2 linked regions of the Ovis aries genome follow. The protein of the gene in region 2 binds, or shares a complex with, the protein of the main gene of each other region. Links are inferred from orthologs where the notes say so. Each region holds a gene or a part of one and is shown on either strand. Other genes may lie near its edges. The genes, in order: GOLGA7 and ZDHHC9.

Region 1 (9,583 bases), on a different chromosome or scaffold from region 2:
TGCTCTGGAGAGGAGGTAGGGGGACGCTCTGCGGTCGGCCGGTGGACAGGTGAGGGTCCCAGCTGGACGTGGGATCTGTAGTTAGAGGGAGAAGCAAAGGCTTAGAAAGCGACACTGACTGACCTCCCAAGAGCAGCTGCTGTGACCTCCCCACGTGTGGGCTACACTCCATTAACCCAGGCTCCGGCTACTGAGATGCCCAGATCTGTCTCATCTGCCGAAGGGGGTCCATGGTTTGAGGGTCCAGAGATCCAAGCCTGTATGTTTGCATCTCTGACCAACCATGTCTCGAGAGGCAGCACAGAACAGGAGTGCGCGGCCAATCCAGGCCTGGCTGCCTCCTGCCGACCTGCCGGTTTGGGGCCCTGGACAAATAACTGAAATTCTCCGGGCCTCGGTCCCCTCTTCTGAAAAACAGGGACACTGCCACAGACCCCAGAGGGTGCTATGAATGATGCGGGCACGCAGGAGGTGCCCACAAGCGCTGGGTGTTTTTATTATCACTTATTTATCGTGATAGGTTAGTGCTACATTCTGTTTTTTAAGTAAAGAAGACGATCTTAATCTTAAGAGAGAAAACAACCATCAGTTTGTTGAATAATAAAGGTATCAAAAAAATTATAACTTTTTAAAAAGGAGTAAAATATAACACTCTTTTAAAAAAATAAAGGCCATCTCCATGATTTGTGTGCTCTTAAGTCATTAATTTTAATTCCCATATAATGCGTCAAGCTGCAGACACCATGTATGCTTAAGAAAAATGACAGAACTGAATTCATTATTCTTCAAGAGTTTTCCCCTTTCCTCTAAGACCTCAGCCCACACAGGATCCCAGGTCTGAGGAACACACAGCTCTGAAAACTAAATTACACTGAACGAAAATATTTGCATTCATGAAATTACCACAAGTTCCTAACGTAAATCTCATTTCAAAACTTCGCTGTTGTTGAATATTGATAGATTCCTCTCTGGTGTGCGATTGCTCCAAGTCCCGCGCCACCTCAGGAAAACAGTGTGTTAGAGCAACAGGAGCTGCAAAGTGCGTCATGACAAACGGCTTGTGCCAAGGCAGCGCAGCTGCAACTGATCAAACCAACGCGTCCCAGCGGCCCGCCACCAAAACCACACTTAGGGCTCCTGGCTGCTCCTCTGAGAAGTACCAGTTTGCAAAGCGCACGTGAGAAAGCGTGTGAACAGGTAACACTATGTGCTCCAAAACAAAGTCTCAGTAAAGAATAAAACACACGGCAGAGGGTGTCATTATTTAGGTCTGTCTTGTAAGAACTCAGGGGACACATTCCCTAGCGCTCAGAGAAGACAGCTATGTATTAATAGCATTCAACAAATGGAACAGACAAGATGTTATTTTTAAAAGGTACTGGAAAAGAAATGAAGGGGAAAAGCATTTAGAATAATGCGATGGACTCTTTTTTCTCCACATCTCTGCTGCTGCATGTACTTATAGGAAGTACGGTGAAAAGACAAGGCTTTATGGTCAACCAGACTCGGGTTCGTAACCCTGGACTATTAGCTGTGTGACCTGGAGATCATCACTTAATCTCTTCCTATCTTGGTTTGCTTATCTGTAATGTGGGGGGAATACTGGGCAGGATTCTTGTGAGAACTGGAAACAGTCTGTGTAACACCTAGCACACAGCCATGCCCTCAGAACAGCAGCGAATATCATTGCTGTTGCCCTGGGGAGGAGGCTGTCTGCTCTGGCTGAATCTGTTTCTGAGCAGCCTCCTGCGAGTCAGGGACAGCTGCCTGCGGACGTGGTCAGGAAAGCTCAGCGGCAGAATTACTACTGGGAGGTGGAGCGCAGGACGGAAACGGGCAGAAATTGGCCCTTTTTTCTGGTCACTTAGAAGGTGCGCTGGCTTCCAGGTGATTCTTCCTCCACATTCCCACCAGCATTCAGCAATTTGCTGCTCAGTTGTTCAGCGTCATTATGTGGATACGTGAGAACATGAACATTCTAAAGCGCGTGAACATTTATGTATGGTTCTACCCACTAGAGGTAAGGTTTCTTTTAAAGGGCTATGAAGCCACTTAAATACATCAAATATTTAGACTCTCCCTATTCTGAAACGTTTCTTTGGTTATTACAGCCATCTGTCATGGCTTTAATGACAGGGAAATCTGTCAGGGGAAAAAATGTCAGGGAAATCTTCTGACCTGATTTTTATGTGTAAGACCCATCTATTAAAATGTCCAGGATAGTTTTGAAATATTAAAATAAGACCCCCCAACCCCCCAAAACAAAGTAATAACAAAATGAGGCTGAAAACAACAAAGGGGGAAGAAAAAATATCAGGGTTAAACTATCACTTGGGTTAACAGAATTTGGGTTAATGACACATTTTAAATATCAAGTCAGTACAGACAGTATGCCAGTATTTATGATGCAGACGAGAAAATTCATGCACCCTACAAAATTACAAAAATGGCACATAATCATACAATTTCATATTTACCTTTAATTCTATGGTTTATCTTCCACTGCTCATACCTCTGTCTTCATAAATGGTAATTTCAATCTAAACAGCATGACTGTTAAGAAAACACACTGGAAAACACAACACAGGAAAAGGGACTACGGAGAGAAGATGGGTATGATCTGTGCGGACTTCTCTTTACTTACTTTAAAAAAAAATTCTTTTGGCTGCACCTTGTGGGATAGCTCAGTTCCCTACACAAGATTGAACCTGGACCCACCAGCTGGAAGCTCGGAGTCTTAACTGTCGGACCGCTAGCAAAGTCCCCCTTGCCTTTACTTATCTTAAATTATTATTTAAGCAATTAAAATTATTATTATTTGCTTTACTTATTTCAAAACATTAAAAATTTCTCCTGCTTAAGTTAAACAGTGTTTGCCACACCCTGCTGAAAAATTCAAGAAATGTCATTGCTTGTGGTATACCACAGAGTTCCTCTCCAAATATTATTTATTTTTTAAAAGAAGAAAAGAATGTGAAAAAGGATACTTTATTGCAGAACTAACGGGGGCTCTTCACTGAGCATCCATAGTGAGGTAATGACGTCAGGGGTGCAAAACACCCTGAAATTGTATGCAAACTTTTTCTTGTGAGAGAGCTCACGACTTCTAAAAGTTTAAGAAACACTGATACGAGTATAATAAAGCCGTTGAAATTATTATCAGCCGGAAGGCCTGGGATTATCTGACCTAGGTTTTAAAAAAAATTTATTTTATCCAGTTATTTATTTTACTTGTTATCAAGCTAAATTATTTTTTTGTAATTTTATTTACCAAATTACCAAAATAAACTTCGTGATGTTGTCAACTGCCTCTAAAATATACAGTTATGTCAAAGGTAATGAAATGATACATCTGGCAGCTGTAACTGATTTCAACGAGTCAGATGAACCCACGGAGCTGCGATTTATTTGGACGACGAGCTCTCCGCGCACTGAGTTCATGCATTTCAAAGGGGCCTTTGGTGTAGCCTCCGCAGCTGAGATGCATGACTCACCCCACTCCATTATTACTACAAGATGCTGCACAGCCACCAAGACAGCGGCAGCCCCAACACTACACGCTCCAGAGACCAGCACGCCACCCGGGAAGGAGTTGTGCTGGAAGGAGGGAGTGCCTTCCAGCAGCAGAGCCCAGGGCAGGTTCGGGAACGGAGGGAAATCCTCTCTGGCCAGGGCTGACGGCCATAATCAAATATTTAGACCTCATGATCTGGACTGAAAAGATACAACTCGCAGTCCTCTCTCGATGGGATCTGTCAGGAGGAGGCCTTGTGGGGCGTAGATCTTCTCATTCTGCTCTTGAATGTATTTGGAGACTTTCTTCAGGACCTGACCAAAGAGAAACAACACAGCTCTCTTACCAACTTCATCAGATTCTCTTTTTGAGTATTCAGCTGAACTTCAAAATATTCAGGCAGTGGAATTAGTTTTCAAAGCAAGAAATAGGTGTTCACGTGGAGGGACAGCTCTGACTCTGTGGCTCATGCCCTGGGTCCCCAACACCCGCCCCCTAGCCCCAGTTCTGAGCACATCCATACAGCCTAAGTCCAAACAGAGATGCAGCCAGGTGGCGGCACGAGAGCCACGCCCCTTCCCTCCATCCTGGATACGGAGAAATTTGGAGGTGACCATATACACGTTACGTGCCTTCCCCTTCCCTACTCAGGAAATGTGCAACATGTGACCTCCTCTGATATCAGGAACAGCTTCTGGCTTTCCCCTGGACACTCAGGAGATGGTTCTCAGGACTTCTCTGCAATCCAGTGGCCAGGACCTCAGGTCACTGCTGAGGGCCCATTTGCATGCCTGATAGGGAAACTAAGATCCTACAAACTGTGAGGCATGCCCCCCACCCTCCACCCCAATAAAGAAAGAACGAACTGCTTTCTCCACTGTACATTTTCATCAATTTAAAGTCATAATACAAAGCGGGCCTATAACGAAGGGAGTCCAGTACATTTAAAACTGAGAAATCTGTTTCCTTCACCAGGCACGTTTGTGCTGGCTGCCATGGAGGTCTGGTGACCAGTGTTCTCCATCATCTCCTGCCTGCATGGGAGGCTGCTCTGCAGCCTGCTCCTGAGTCCTAGATGGGAACCTCGATTTATAAGTTTAGTATTAAGGTTGTAAAAGTCAAAGCAAACATAGACAAAAACCAGATAGGATAAAAAGGAACTTCTGGAAATTGCCAAATCTTAAGCTTTAATAAGGGCAATTCTGAGACAGATAACCTAGAAGAAAATAAATCTTAATAGTGATACACAAAATCAAAGAGTCACATGTTTTCTTTCAGATTCAAGGTCATTATAATCCTTTGCTGGCTCTAATCTTCAAAGACGCTTTGATCCAATTCTTTAATTACTGTATGTTTCCTTAAATTCACACTAGCAGAATATGATAAAGTCACAGATAAATGTGATCACAACATAAAGGGAAAAAAAGAACTGTATGAAAATAAAGCTGGAAAGGAAGAAATCTGATTTAAGTATGGGTCTATAATGTACCAGAACAAACCAACATATTAGAATGATAAAACGTAGCTGCTTTGGCATAAACTGATTTAGAATTTAAAACTCTATGCTGCTTGTATAATGGATTTTCTCACTGAAGGACAATAAACAGTCTATTCAGGTTACATCTCTGGGGAATAATAAAATCTCATGTTTTACGTTTTTTAAAAAAGAGCATGATATTATTAAAAGAGTCATCTGCAGGGTTATGAAGTAATGTAAGAATACTATTTCTAAAGAAAAGACTTTTTCACCTTATTACCTAAAGTACATATGTCATTCTCCTATTTTCAACTCTCAAAGAATTTGAGCAGTGCCTGGTCTTTATGAGCAAAAAAAAAAATCTCAGTCACTCTCTTTCCACCAGCATTTGTCAATCATGCTGCTGCTGCTGCTAAGTCACTGTGCGACCCCACAGACAGCAGCCCACCAGGCTCCCCATCCCTGGATTCTCCAGGCAAGAACACTGTCAATCATGCTAAAAAGAAGGGAAGCAAGTCACTCATGATGGTGCCCAATTCAGGATTCTCCCTCTTCGCTCCAATTTCCTTCTGTGCTCACCTGCCAGAGCTCGAAACCGGACAGCCAGGCTCCCCTCACCCCGTCCATTTACACTGGGCAGACATTGAGAAACCAGCCTGCATGGCTGGTTTCAAAGAAAGGATTCCTTCACATAGCTCTCCTCCCCTCCTCGAGTGCAGGTTATTAGCAAAGACACAGCCATGCTTTATTTGATTCAAGCAGAACTCTGTCGTGCAAGGCTTTTGTTTAAACTTTGGTAACACTCATGGACACTTGGGTTTCAGTTCAGAAAGAAGACAGTTTTCCTTGGGCGCCAGCTGCAAATCCTCCCACAGCACTGCAGTGAAGGCGGCACCATGCTAACCCAGATGTGTTGTTAGCAACAGACAGCTCACGGACGTGAGTCAACTCGTACCTCACTCCTGCCAGGACAGAGCACCGTTCTCACCCTCAAGGAACTTTGTGTTGACATTTTATTCATACTTCACTATTTTTAGTGAATCGTTGTTAAAACAAACTATAATACCAACAAAATTATCTGTTATCCTCAAACCCGCAATAAAAACCTCAGTTTGTATAGTATTTACAAAGTTAAACACTCAGACCTCAGGAAAGGCTATTGTCCTCTTTGAGAATAAGCCTCTCAAAGCCCTTGAGGAAAGATAACCGAAGTGGGGTTGAGTGAGAGGCCCAGGGGCTTAGTGTTTCCAGAAAGATCTGAGTTCTCTGACTGCGCTCTTTTCACATCACAGCCCATGGGCAGCAGGGACGTCTCTGGTGGACGAACACAGCAACTGCTCCTGAAAGAAGAACGTTCCACAGGCCCATTTGTTCCCTGATTATAATGGGCAGCAATGGAGGGGAATAACACTGAAGCCTTTATCTTCATTGTAAATCAATAAATAGCACATTATAGAAAAAAAAAAAAAAGCACGATTGTTCTAGTGGGTTTTAAAAGGCCTATTTACAATCTCAAAAAATTTAACCCACAGGACAAAGTGTAAGTGTCACTATGCGTGGCTTACTGTTTGTAGACTGGAAGTTTTAGTGTTTAACACAATAAAGACTAAATGACTCAATTTTGTCCCTTCATAAAGGAGAAAATAATAGCACAGGAATTCCTAAGGGGCAAACTGGAGAGAGGGAGTGGCTGAGCACTCTAACATTTTTATCATCTTATCAAAAATACAAATACACATTTACAATGTTTCCTTTTAAAAGTACATGGAGATTATATCTTTATTATGACCATTCCAGTTATGTACTTTGCATGATCTAGTTAATTCATGTCCAAATTTCTTATATAAAATCACATTTATAAAATGTGCCATAAATTTGGGTTTCTTGACTAATTTTATTGGGTCTTTATTTGCTTTATAATACTTACTCTGTAAAAGAGACTTTAATTAGACTTGTAAAGTAATACCTTATATGTTATTTATGAACTCAAGTCCATTATTTTCTGATATAATTTGAGACGTGCCTTCTGAAATTGATCATCAAAATAATCAAATACTAATCAAAAAAGACTTTAATTAAGAGTTGCTAAATGTTTTAGTAGGTAAAGAAACCAGCAGCTGCTAAAAAAAGATGACTTATACACTTATACACTCAAGGTAAAAAAAAACCTGTACATGTAAGTGCACACATATCTGATTAAAACATATATATACACACACACACTAACTCGATTTTTAAGTCTATCTTAAGAAAACTTTATTTAGCACCTGCCATATGTAAGGCAATTTATTAATTCAAAGATCCATTATATTTCTTTTTTGGATTTACCTTTTTTGTTTTTTTAAACAAACGTGTCCTAATCACTGATATACAGCCAAGTGACTCAGTTGCACATGTACCTACGTTCTCTTTCATATTCTGTTCCAGGATGGTTTCTTTCCTATGTCTCCTCATCTGCATCTGCTAACACCCATCCCCACTCCTTGGTAACTACCAATCTAAGACCCGCTTACAACTGAGAACTCAGATTTGGAGAGATGAACTTGTCCATGACTCATAACTAGGAAATGACCTGGCTGGCACCCAGTGATCAGTCTCTCTATAACTGATGCCAGAGGCAGGTATCTGTATCTATTTTAGCAAAGACACATGAAAAAATAAGTTGATTAAAATTTCATCAACAAATTTAAAAACTACAGTGAAATAACAATTCAAGCATGCAATATTCCATGAGGCGTGAATAAAACACTCTGGAGGACATATTTCTGCCTTAAATTGGCTATATTACACGTCTTCTACGGCCACGTGGCATGAGTATCTTACCTGCACAGGCCCAGCCCTCCCCACCCACCCCCTCCTGTGGTCAGTGGCTCCCTAGCGTGCCTCCTCCTCCACCACCTCGCCCCTTGAATCCGCTCACCTCCTGCCGTCCCTGCCGCTCCCTCCCCGCCCAGGCTCTCCTTGTCTCCTGCCCGGACTTCTACGAAGCGTCTTACTTGCACTTTTATACCTTTCTTCCTCAGAGCCAAGAAATCTGTTTAAAATGAAAATCGGATCCTGCCACTCTCCTGCTTGAAAAGCTTCAGTGATCCTACCCTGCATGGAAATAAAATCTAAGCCTCTCTCCACGGAGCACACACTCCATGGGGCAGAACGCAGGTCCCCTCACCTCTCCTGTCACCTCTGCCCTCTCCTCCTCTGCACAGGGGGCCCACGCTCTGCACATCCTCCTCCAGCCTTCTGAAAGGCCCCAGGCTCCCCATCTTTCACGTGGCAGCTGAACGCTAGCACCCCAGAGACCCTTTCTGACCACCCCATCTAAATTAGTCTCTCTGGTTCTGGTCTATCCTCGGGAAGTTTGGTTTTTTCTAAGGCATTTATCACAACTTACAATTCTGTGGGTTTTGTTCCTTAGTATCAGTTTTTACCAGACTTATAAACTCCACAACGTCAGTAACCACGTCTGCCCATTCAGTTATATCCTCTGCACAGTGCTTAGCACATAGTAGGTGTTCAATAAAATTAATCGAATGGATCCCGTGTCCCTTCACTCACGAAATGTATCACTAAAGAGGAGCTGCTAAGACAGAACAGACTGAAAGTGGATACGGATCCTCTGTGACTTCTGATGCCGAACATTAAGCAGGAAAGAAAGTGTGTGACGAGGAGAAGGGCATAAACTGCCTGTGTCGCTCTTTAAATGCTTACCAGGGGACTCACACCAGGATGGTAAGGAAGAACACGGTGGCACGTTCAGCCAACGGCTCAAAACGCTGGAGCCACACCTGTGTCCGCTCTCCACCACATGGAGTACAAGACAGCCTCCAGGAGACTTTGGCCAGTGGGGTGCCTCCTATGCCCAAGGCCTCGTGCTAGGCATCAAGAGGGACACACTGTCCTTGATCACAAGAAAAACACATACTTGATGGGCAAGTAAGACAGGAATATAAATGCTACATTCCTCAGCAAAGAGCGCTTAAGTACCAGAAAACAGATTCCAGTAAAGCGCTGTGGGGACAGAGGGGAGAGAAGGAATCCAATCAGAAGACAGGGTGAAAAGTCAGCTGAGAGCAGGACTGAAGGACTGAGGCCATTCGGACATGGAAAGGGCATCTCAGGGGGAGGAAGGCTTCTCAAAGGGTGCACCTGGCTAAAAGATAAAGTGAGGACGGGGGAGACAGGGCTGGGGGAGGCGAGCTGGGGGAGGGCTTGCGACAGCCCCTCACGCTGCAGGAGAGGCATGGCTGTGTTTCACGACACAGCAGCTGTTTGGAAATGGAAGAGAAAGGCAGGAAAGAGGCTCTGTGGCTGCGGTATTGGTCTAGGAGAGACGTCACAAGGGCATAAATCAGGGGGAGGCAGAGGGTGTCATAAAGTTAATGAATGGGCAATTGGAAGACAGCTCGGTCTGACTACTGATACAATTTCGCTCTTCTCGACCCCCACCTGAAGATGCTGGGCGAAAAAGACAGGGTGCCGCTGAGCCAACTGGGGAATGGGAGGCTTGACTTTCGGACCCCTGAGTTGAGGAGCCAGCATCTTTGTCTCCAGTGGACAGTTCAGAGGGGAGACAAGGACTCAGGTGGGAGGAG
Region 2 (10,339 bases):
TGGGCAGAGCGGGAGGCTAGGGCTGTGCTGGGTTTGTATCATATGCTCTCACTTAGACATCAAGTTTAGACCATAATCTAGGGACCTAAACTGTGAATACCTAGCACAATCCTTGGCTCAGAGGAGGTCCTTAATAAATGGTCTCCATTGATGTGATTATGATTCCTGTTTAGTGAAAGGGGGCTCAGCAGTAAAGAATCAGCCTGCCAATGCAGGAGAAGTGGATTTGATCCCTGGGTTGGGAAGATCCCCTAGAGAAGGGAATGGCTACCCACTCGAGTATTTTTGCCTGGGAAATCTGCCAGGCAGAGGAGCCTGGTGGGCTACAGTCCGCAGGGTCACAAAGAGTGGGACACGAGTGAGCAACTAAACAACAACAAGAAGTCTTAGGATTAGTGTTGAGGGCTCCGGCACAGCATCTAAAATCATTCTGGGTAGAGTCAAAGATCCACAGTCTAGAGATGAAATAAAATTTAAAACTGGCAAGAGCAGACTGGCATCAGAGGCAGGGGCAGAGACTGGGTTGGAGCACTTTAGTTGCACTGTCATAGGATCTTCTTGGCACCCAGGCAGTTTTCCCTGGACTTTTTGTATTGTATTTGTTATACAAATATTACTTATTTGTAAAATGTTTGGTTTTCACATGGTGGCATCCTAAAGGTGCTTCTCAGTCTCTGACAGGAGCCAACAGTCCCAACACAGTGATGTGAACACAGAAGGTGTACAATGACAGAGATGCCAGTGGTCTCTTACTTATTGAAACACATAATATTCAGGCAATATTGAGGATTCCCTGGAGATGATGGTGCTACAAAACAGCCACTCTACTAGACCACGATTATAGCCCAAGCTTTTCCCAAGCATAAGTAAGGTTCCCCGGGGACTGGGAAGCCAAGGGGCCAGTCAGATAAGGATTAATTCCAAGTGACAGATTTAGACGCTCTGTAAACACACAGCACACGGATGACCAGGGTTCGACAAAGTGAAGAATGGGTCTGTTTCTTCTTACAGTTCTACCCCCAGTCATCAGTGCAGATAAAGGAGGGAGGTGGGAAACGGCAGTTACCTACAGATATCATTAGAACATACATCATTGATTGTATTTCTCCTATATGCCAGACATTTAGCACACATCATCTCCCATTCCTTTTATAGCTCTATGAAGTAGGCATTAGCTCTGTTTTACAGCTGAGGAAATTGACTCAGAAATGAGAAATTACTTGACATAATTTACACGAGCTCCTGAGTAGCAGAGTCAGGATTTGAACCTAAGTCCATCTGGCTATAAAGCTTCGGTGCTTTCTGCTATGCATACCATCTTGCCTCTTCTGCATCAGGGAAAGCAGCCCAGCCCCCAGGGAAATAGCTATTGCTTAAGAACACTAAGTTGGTCCCTGTGGACAGGATGCCCGTGGTTCTTTCCTTTGTTCATCAGTTCATTCTACAAATATATGTTTATTTATAGCCAGAAAGTAAGAAGAGAGCAGGCCAGGTGGGTGAGCTAGAAAGGGACACTTGTGTGGGTAGGAGGACAAGGCGGCCTGAAAAGGTTGAGGCTAATGTAAACAGACAAAAAAAAAAAAAATGAGGCCAACAAGAGCTTAAATGCAGGATGGGGACTAAGTTTGGGGATCTGTTTTGGATACAGTACTGAAGGGGTCTCTGGGTGTTTACAGGAGAGATGTCTGGAGCAACACAAAGAGGCAAGTTGCAACTCCACAGCAGCACTCAGAATCTGAGGCCGTTGACACCTCCACACCACGAACACACGCAGGAACTGTCAATATGGAGACAAGTATTTTTAAAAAAGCACACCAGAATGTGTGTGACCACACAATGGAGGCCTACGCCTTTATTCCATGCCGTTTGGAGCACTCACCACGTGACTGCAACTCCCCTTCAAAGGAGCCAACACCCCTTTGGATGCATAAAGTCTAGAGGTTTGTGGAAAAGAGTAAAAGAGAAAACAATGTTCATTTATAGTCACAGTGTAGTTAGGGATGTGTATTAAGACCTTGGGGATAATATGAAACGATGCAATGGCATAGAAGGTATCGGTATGGAGGGTTTGTCCATATCCATTTTCCTTATTTTTCTTTCAGAGGTGAGCACAAATGATAACAGATTGTAGTAAAGCAAGCCTGACCTACACAGTCACTTAATAATCCCGGAGGGAATGTGACCCAGAGCAGGGAGGGGCAGAGCTCAGGAATGTGTTGCTGTGACTCATTCCAGGACTCCCAGGGCTTCACCTACACCTGAGACGTTTGGGTGCTGTGGAGGTTTATTTTTGTCCACTCCCCAATTGGGAGGATGACAGCCGGGGAGACTCCTAAGGGCCTCTGGTATACACAGGCTTGGGAACCCAGAGGCCTGCTGGGCTGTCCTTCTCCTTTCCATACCAAATGAATGCAATACCAGCAGCCTCGAGGATTTAAAGGGGAGAATGGAGGTGATGATACTGATCATACAGTTCATAAAAACTACACCGATGATTATAATCAGCATGAGTGCTGGGGAACAATAAAAGCTTTATAAAGATGTACTTTCTCCTACAAATGAATTATAACACATCTCTCATAAGAGAATTACCTAGTAATTTTTTTATCCTTTAAAATTTTTGATTGAAGGGTACCATGAATGTGTCAAATGTAACTATCATTAGATAGAATTTTGCTTCATATCTTGTGGGACCCAAATCCCATAAAAGGAGAAATAGTTCTTGACCAGGCAGTGGTCCTTCAACTAACACACACAAAAAAACTGCCTTGGGAAGAGCTTTGGCAGTCTCTTTTGTATTCATTGCAAATACCTTCACCCCAGAGAAACTTTGTTCAAGCTTAGGAAAATAGCTGACAATCTGGGCACTTTCCCTGATAGTGTGACAGGTAAGGAAAGACCACCTTACACCCTCTCTCATATTTCCCCTTATATTTGGAAGCCAAGAGCCACAGTAGCGGAAACAGACCCAGTATCTTTTAAAGTCTGTTGTAGAATATTGATTTCGCGGTTCTCAACTGTTTTCCCCACTCCAATCTTATGCTAAAGGATGAGACTCACTCAGATCAGTAGCAGTGGCTCATTGTGGTAATAACTGCCCTGTCAGAGAGGTGGCAGAAAGATAGAATCAATGTGGTTGGTGGGTAGAGTTTCTGCTGCTCCCCTCTGAGCCCCACTCAGCGCCTCATTATCACAAGCTCTTCAAATCTAATAGTCATTTATAAGCTTTTGAAGCAATCTTTACTTCATCACCTACCTGAAAGAATTTATGTCCTGTCAGTAGAGTTTCAGCGTCAATTTTTTGTTTACGATACCGCAAAGTGATTCTATCCTCTTGGGGACAGTTATCTCTTTCAAGTTCCTTTTTATATGTTTGTTTTGTCCCTAAAGCCACAGATGCAGGCCAGGGTGACTGGGACAAAGGTGGGATCCCTACCTCGTGAATATGACTTGGGAGGCAGAACTTATTTTTACGCGGGTACAGAGTAAAATCCCAAGTCGCGATTGATTTCATGTAAGTACGGCTGGAGAGGCCCAAGGAGGATCCAGTTTGGGGTGAGCACCGGGATCTGTGAGCCAGGGTTCCTTCAGCGTCTCATGGTACGTGTGTGCGGGGGGAGGCAGGTCCCCCGTTCCTCCTAGTCCCATTGACACTACGCTTCATCCCGGTCCCTGCGGAACTATATTAATAGAAAGCGACACTTCACACATCGGTGCTCAGACCCCAAAGGGAGGCTGGCAAAGGCTTGGCAGGTGGGCACGAAGTCGGGAGATGGGTGGGGGAATGGGGCGGAGGCGTCGTCGAGTGGCGTTCTGCGCAGCCAATGGTAGTTCGGGGCAGGGGTGGCAGGGGCGGAGGCGCCGAGGCGGATCAGCCAATAGAGGGCTAGCAACTACTGGAACGACCTGGTGACGTGAGGAGCGTTCCATTTGGCCAGCGGTGGGCGGTTGCCACAGCTGGTTTAGGGCCCCGACGACTGGGGCCCCTTGTCAGGAGGAGGCAGCCTCCGGGCTGGGGAGAAGCCGCTGCCATCTCTGGCGGCCAACGCGGTCCCCTGGGACAGTGTACTTCCTGGCTTCGGTTCCCGGCCGAGTTCGGTCTCCGGGGTTCAGGTAACAAGGGGGTGGGTGGGGGTGGGGGTCTCCGGGGCTCGGCCGCGTGGTGGGTTGCAGCCCCCTCGGCTGCCCTGGGATGCGCGGAGCCTGCTCTGCCCTTCTCGGCTCGGCGATTGCCGAGCCCCTGGCCGGGGGTGACTACACGTGGCGGGGCGTGTGTGTGTACGAGCGTGCGGAGGTGGCGCGCGTCCCATCCTGCCCGGGGCGGTGGTCGGCGGCGTGGCTGAGGTTGGGCGGGCCTCTCGAGGCCGCGCCCGCCGCCCGTCCGGGACTCGGGCCTCGGGCCCCGAACCGCTGGGCTGGTCGCTGGTTCTCGACGGATTTTGATCTTTGTTCTCCCAGGCCCGGCTCCCCTTCCTGGTCTCTCCTCCCGCTGGGGCGGTTTATCAGGAGAAGATTGTTATCCAGGTTAGTTTTACACAAAGGAAGTGTTCTCTACACCTCCGATGCCCCCTCCCCTTTCCCAAGCCTTCCAGCTTCTCCTTTCCCTGCTCAGCTCCTAGTCTCTCTTTGGACCGTTGCCCTCTTCAGCCCAGTTGGTTATTTCTCATCAGTCAGTCGAGCTGCAGGTTTCCGCCTCCTTCTTGCCAGCGTGAGGCATGTGGTATCGGTAAATAGAGGCCACAGCACCACACCTGAAAGGAGAAGGGTGACAGCGGTGAGAAAGGCTGGGCCTGGGGATTCAGGATGCTAAGTGGAGATGGTACTTCTGAAATGTCCCAGAAAGCACCTTTGTGACTTTTCTTAACTGCTGCCACCCCTCCCCCTCCGTTGGGCCCCTCCTCCTCCCAGCCATATAAGAATCTCTCTGGCTTAAGTCAGCCCTTCACCTACAGGTCTGTGATGTGGTTTCATTAAGATTCCCACAAATGTTAGGCTAGACCGGCAAAGTTGGTTCATTTCCCAGACTCAGGAAGTTAGGAGGGTTTGATTAGGGGAAATCTGTTTGGAGTAAATACAACCTGGGTTTGTGTACAGTGTCCAAAACCTCCTAGCTCTCCCAAAGGATGACTTGTTCCCTGGTGTGATTCAGATTCCAGTGGCTAATTGAAGAAAGAAGGTGAAGAAATGGAGGAGGGAAGGGAATGGCCCTTAAGGATAGAAATTCCATCATTTGTAGAGTCTTTTTCATGATAATTATACAATAATATGGTATAGTGGAGAGCACCCTGGACTGAAAGTCAACAGACCTGTTTTCTTGGCTTAGCTTCGTGGCCTTGTGACCCAGAGAAGTGATTTCCCCACTTCAGTCTTCAGTTTACTTATTTCCAAAACAAAGTAATTGGGGCTGTCACCTATAAAACCTCTTCTAGTTCCTAGTTCTGTGATAGTCAAATCATCAGTATTATACTGAAAGTAAAGGGATGTATGTAAGATATACTAGCCTCTTTCTCTTTTTGAGAACCTTTAACCTTTTCTTCTTTTAGGGGACAAAAACAGATTGGAAATAAACTCTTCCATTTCTTCACTCTCAACCCTTGAGGCAGTACTCATCTTTCTGCCTCTGGGAAAGGAAGATTGAACTGCATTTTCTTGTTCTTGCCTCATTTTTTTTTCTTTTTGTGTTTTTCCTTAGGGCTAGAAATTGGACTTCTGATGATGTTTGACCCAGTGGCAGCAATAGCACACATCGTGATTTCAAAGCTGGGCTCAGCTTCTGTATCTTCCCTCTTATAATCACAAACCCATTTTGGACCAGGAATTCCAATCATGTCTGTGATGGTGGTGAGAAAGAAGGTGACACGGAAATGGGAGAAACTCCCAGGCAGGAACACCTTCTGCTGTGATGGCCGCGTCATGATGGCCCGGCAAAAGGGCATCTTCTATTTGACCCTCTTCCTCATCCTGGGGACATGTACGCTCTTCTTCGCCTTCGAGTGAGTTTCCATTGAGTACTGTTGCCTGATTATGGTTACTTTGGGTCCAGGGAAAGAACCTTCTTTCTGGGGAGTTTATGGCTAGTCCTTGGAAGGTTGTCACTGTCCTCTTGAGCAGTGTCTGTAGATCATGTCAACTGAATTCATTGCTTTGTATGTGCCTCCTTAAAAGACCAAGACGTTTGATAACCAATTTTATAGCACTGATTTGGGGCCGCCCCTGGAACACTTAGGAAATAAAAGAATTCATCTTCATTACTCACCTCCCCTTTACAGTGGTCTCCTTAGGTGGTTAGTGACAGATTGCCTCTTCTCCACCCCTCCTGAGCCTAGGAGCACTCCCTGTGGTCATAACTCCACCCCATGATACTCACCTATTCTGTTATTCTGGGTCCTATTTTCTTAGGGCTCAGCTCTCAGCTAGCTCTTAAATTGAAAAGCCAACTGAATTGGGAACCTGCCGATTGATTCCAGCCTCAGCTGTGCCACAGTCTAGCTGCCTGTGTGGCACATATGTGCTTATTAAATGTGAGTTGCTCTTTCTCTCAGTCAAAATCACTCAACATAAACAACTCTCTATTCTGTGTGTGCCTGATACCAGCCTTGGAGTTATTTTTCCTGTGATGTAACAGCTAGTTTTAGAGGCAGTTTGAAATCTGTGTTGGTCACTACTCTAGGGAGTTGACCAGTTGACTACTGTGGCATGACTCCTGGGTATGCTGAGAATGTACATTCCAGGGATGAGAGCAATGCTAATTGGTTTAGGATTATTATGAGGAAGGCCTTGAAGGAGCCAAGAGATGTGTTTGTAGACCATGAGCTACACCTAATATGAACTGCTACAGTTCATGCCCTCCAGTGACCTGGAAATGGAACTCCCCTCAGGGGGTGTGGCCATGGGATGGAGGAGGGGGCTTCTTGGCTTGCCTTGGTGGATAATTAAAATGAACTCTGATCTTTGGGGGCTCATTTTTGTCTTTCTTCTGTAAGGGCTTCAGGCTTTCCCAGTGCATCAAGAGTGATTTTTTGGGGGCTGGTTTGCCAGACTTTGGGATAAGTGCAAATGGCGTGAATAACAGCAGGGGAAGGAGAGGGATGTAGTTTATAACAAGGCCAGGAAAGTAAGGTCAGAGGACCTTTTTGTCAAAGGCACGTTTTTTGCTGCTGTTGCTACCAAGTTGTAAAATATTTGGCAAAATCAGACAGGTTGATCATGGCTTCTTAGCTGCTTTCCAGTCAGAGTTTCATGGCTGAATGTGTGTGTGTATACTTTGTGTGGTACAAGTGAGCGTGTGCAGGCGGGCAGGCATAAGCATAACATTTAAAAAAATATTTCCCCACTTCTCAGTCTTGTCTCCAAGTTAGCTTTGTTTCTTCCTTGCTTGTTTATGGAAGTGCAGAGCTGAACTCTGCTTTCTGTCATTCTCACTCCTTCCTCTGCTAAATCACTAGCTCTTTTTGCCTCTCTCCCCTCCCCAACTCAGGGTTAAATTTTTGTGGTTGAAACCATTCAAAACAGAGATGAGATTTGTTTCCAGGCCCTGAGCGAGCTGGTAATTCTGGGCCCAGGAACCCTCTGGTTTGACTGGCCAAGGGAACTTGAAATTTGGAGCTACTGGCGTTTGGCCCTTTTTGTATCTGGAAGCCAGACAGAGTATGATTTGGATGTGTTCTGTTCGGCCCTGAAGGCCTCTGAAGAAAACTGCCTGTGAGATGAAGCTTATAACCAACCAAGTTACTGTTTGACAGAGGCAGGTTGGGTTTTCTGGTGAGATGACTTTTTTCCCCCCAAGTTATTTCTTGCGCTTTGCCCTCAGATGTGAAGGGTGAGGTTGTTTGTAAACTGCCCTGGGTTCCAGCTGTGTGTGTGGTAGAGTAAATAGTTTCGAAGGTGGGGCTGGGCGAGGGAGTAGAAAAGGGGAAGGGAGAAGGAAGTAAAAGTGTTAGCTGAGAAGTGGAATGGGGAAGTTTACATCTGACCAAAGGGGAGAGGGCCCCGTCAATGAATCCTTCTTACTGAGAATGGTGGGATCTGTGTTTGTGAGCACGTATGTGTATGCGTATATGTGTGCACATGCACGCATCTGTCTGTCACATGCAGACACGTGGGCACTCTAGGTGGCGGCTGCCTTGAGCCTAGCCACTGACAGGCTGTACAGAGGACACCAGCCTGCCTCTGAGGAATGAAGTCTCTTTCTAGTCAACCTTTTTCTTTGGGGGTCTATAACTCACTATCCACCACATGGTGGAGGATAGGGTTTGGGGGCAGAATATGGGCTCCTTTGCTAGTATGAGAACTTACAGAGACCTCAGGAAATCACCTGGTTTAGTCCCCTGCCTTCAGGCAGTTGAGGGTGTCTGAACCGACCGTCTCTTTTCATGTTTAAATTGTATAGGAGCATAGACTGTACATTCTCTGGCTGCTGCATTTTGGCCTTGAGGAAAAAAGTTCAGATCTTGAGGCACATCTGGACCTGCATTTTCGTAACAGGGTCCTGCTTGCAGCAGGTGTGCAGGAATGAGTGAGAGGTGATTTATAACCCCCTGTGGCACAGCCCTGGGTCGGCCAGATGGCTTGAGAAATCTGGTCAGGCGTGTGGGCGCCCCTTGATGAAAAACATGCAGTGTTAGTAGTGTCAGTGGACATCTTTTTTATTTTTGGATTTCGCTTTTACATGTTTAGATTTCTCAAAGGAGGGTCCTGTGATTTTTCAGTGAACAGACAGTAGGTTAACTACATAAAATGAGAAAAAGTGGTCCATACAGGTGCTCATCATTAGCTTTGTGTTGTTAGAAGCGTTTCCAAAGAAGCTGGGTAGCCATCTCTCAGAGCTGCTGTCACAGAGTGAATTCCTGCCCAGGATGGGAAATAGGGCTAGATTATCACTAAGCCTCTTGCAGCTCTGAGATTCTGAAATTCTATAACTCTTGTGTCTGTCTGGAAGATTCTAATACACACATAGAAAAGGAGAGGATAGAAGATTACCAGTAGATAGCTGTATTTTAAATGTAATTGTATCTATTGTTTCTATAGTAAATGTATTTGAATTTAGAAGCAGAGTGTACAGTGCTTGTACAGTGCTTAAAAAAAAGAATTTCTTTGCAAGTAGAGATTATCATACTAAGCGAAGTAAGTTAGAAAGAGAAAGACAAATACCATATGATATCACTTATGTATGTGGACTCTAAAATGTGACACAAACGAACCTATCCACAAAACAGAAACAGACTCAGAGACACAGAGAAAAGACTGCGGTCGCCATGGGGGATGGGTTAAGGAAGGAATGGAGTGGGAGGCCGGGGTTAGCAGATGTAAGCTATTATATATAGAATGGATAAACAACAAGGTCCTACTGTATAGCACGGGGAACTGTATCCAATGCCCTGGAATTAATCATAATGGAAAAGAATGTATATATAACTGAATCACTTTGCTGTACAGCAGAAATTAACACAACATTGTAAATCAGCTATACTTTAATCAAGAGTATTCTAATTAAAAAAAAAAAGAGGAATTTCCTAATGTATTCTTAGGATGAGGTATTTAGGAAATGTGAGCTTTAAGCACATGAACCATTCTCCATCCTTTCTGCCCAAACTCTGTCCAGCTTGTGTGATGAACACATAGCCAACAGCTTGGCTAGGAATGTCAGGACACTGTAGCAGACTGACACTGACAACCTGTGAACTGTCCAACTACTGAAAGGCTATTGTGGTATTTAGTCAAATTCAACTTTCTGATAAAGCTTGGGGAAAAGACCAAGTGCACTGTGTTCTGAAAGTGGCTTCCTAGCTTTCTCTTTTAACTGTGTGACCAGATCACTACTGGGGTCAAGGTCTCTTGTGGCATGAATGATTGTGTGACTCTTGACCCCTGAAGTAGGAAGGCGTTTACTGCTGTGATCAGTGCTTATGCCTCACTGTGCTGTTTCTAGCGGATATCGTATCAAGGCATTATCAAACCCTGTTGGACTGACCCTCCTGGGTGCTTCTGATGTACAGAGGAGTCATTGAATTGTATGAACTGAAAAAAGCTTTGTAGCACTGCTTAATAATTGTCCCACTTCTAGCCTATTCAGACTCTACCTCTTTTTCAAGTCCCTTCTTGACTCTTCCTTCATGAAATTTTTCTAGTAATTTCTGCATTCATAGGACTAATTGTACATATCAGTCATTTAACACATAATTACATGACATTTTTAATATTTTGTAATTCTGTGGATATTACAGTTTGAGTTCTTTCAGGGTCAGGGACTATCCTCTGCATGTGTGTGGCCCCCACAGTGCCTTCTACTAGGCCTTACTTAGAGTATGTAATCAATAAATGTAGCTGAATTGATACATTC

Evidence for each region.
Region 1: the proteins of ZDHHC9 (region 2) and GOLGA7 are in contact, whole or in part, in a cryo-EM structure (PDB 8HF3), measured with the Homo sapiens proteins. The link is inferred for Ovis aries from reciprocal best matches to the Homo sapiens genes ZDHHC9 and GOLGA7. Residues at the interface, in NP_001008223.1 of Homo sapiens: Phe78, Ala81, Arg85, Ile94, Pro95, Leu98, Asp100, Glu101, Phe104, Ile105, Phe129, Gln130, Ile131, Asn132, Ile146, Pro149, Pro150, Arg182, Tyr183, Leu186, Tyr274, Lys281, Cys284, Glu285, Leu287, Cys288, Gly289, Pro290, Leu291, Pro292; in NP_001002296.1 of Homo sapiens: Lys11, Phe13, Gln15, Tyr18, Ser19, Ser20, Gly21, Thr22, Ala57, Glu58, Leu60, Ser64, Tyr65, Gly68, Cys72, Ala75, Tyr76, Thr77, Phe79, Leu80, Tyr86, Glu87, Leu90, Ile116, Arg118, Gly119, Arg121, Val122.

The regions. Positions count from the first base shown.
Region 1 is NC_056079.1:35,771,510-35,781,092, reverse strand, and holds part of GOLGA7 (golgin subfamily A member 7), read right to left. Parts: intron 3,829-9,583; coding exon 3,727-3,828; intron 2,541-3,726; coding exon 2,493-2,540; 3' UTR 2,478-2,492; intron 76-2,477; 3' UTR 1-75. UniProt on the Homo sapiens protein: May be involved in protein transport from Golgi to cell surface. The ZDHHC9-GOLGA7 complex is a palmitoyltransferase specific for HRAS and NRAS.
Region 2 is NC_056080.1:113,758,588-113,768,926, reverse strand, and holds the start of ZDHHC9 (palmitoyltransferase ZDHHC9), read left to right. Parts: upstream 1-3,928; 5' UTR 3,929-4,113; intron 4,114-4,458; exon of another isoform or gene 4,459-4,524; intron 4,525-5,692; 5' UTR 5,693-5,826; coding exon 5,827-5,993; intron 5,994-10,339. UniProt on the Homo sapiens protein: Palmitoyltransferase that catalyzes the addition of palmitate onto various protein substrates, such as ADRB2, GSDMD, HRAS, NRAS and CGAS. The ZDHHC9-GOLGA7 complex is a palmitoyltransferase specific for HRAS and NRAS.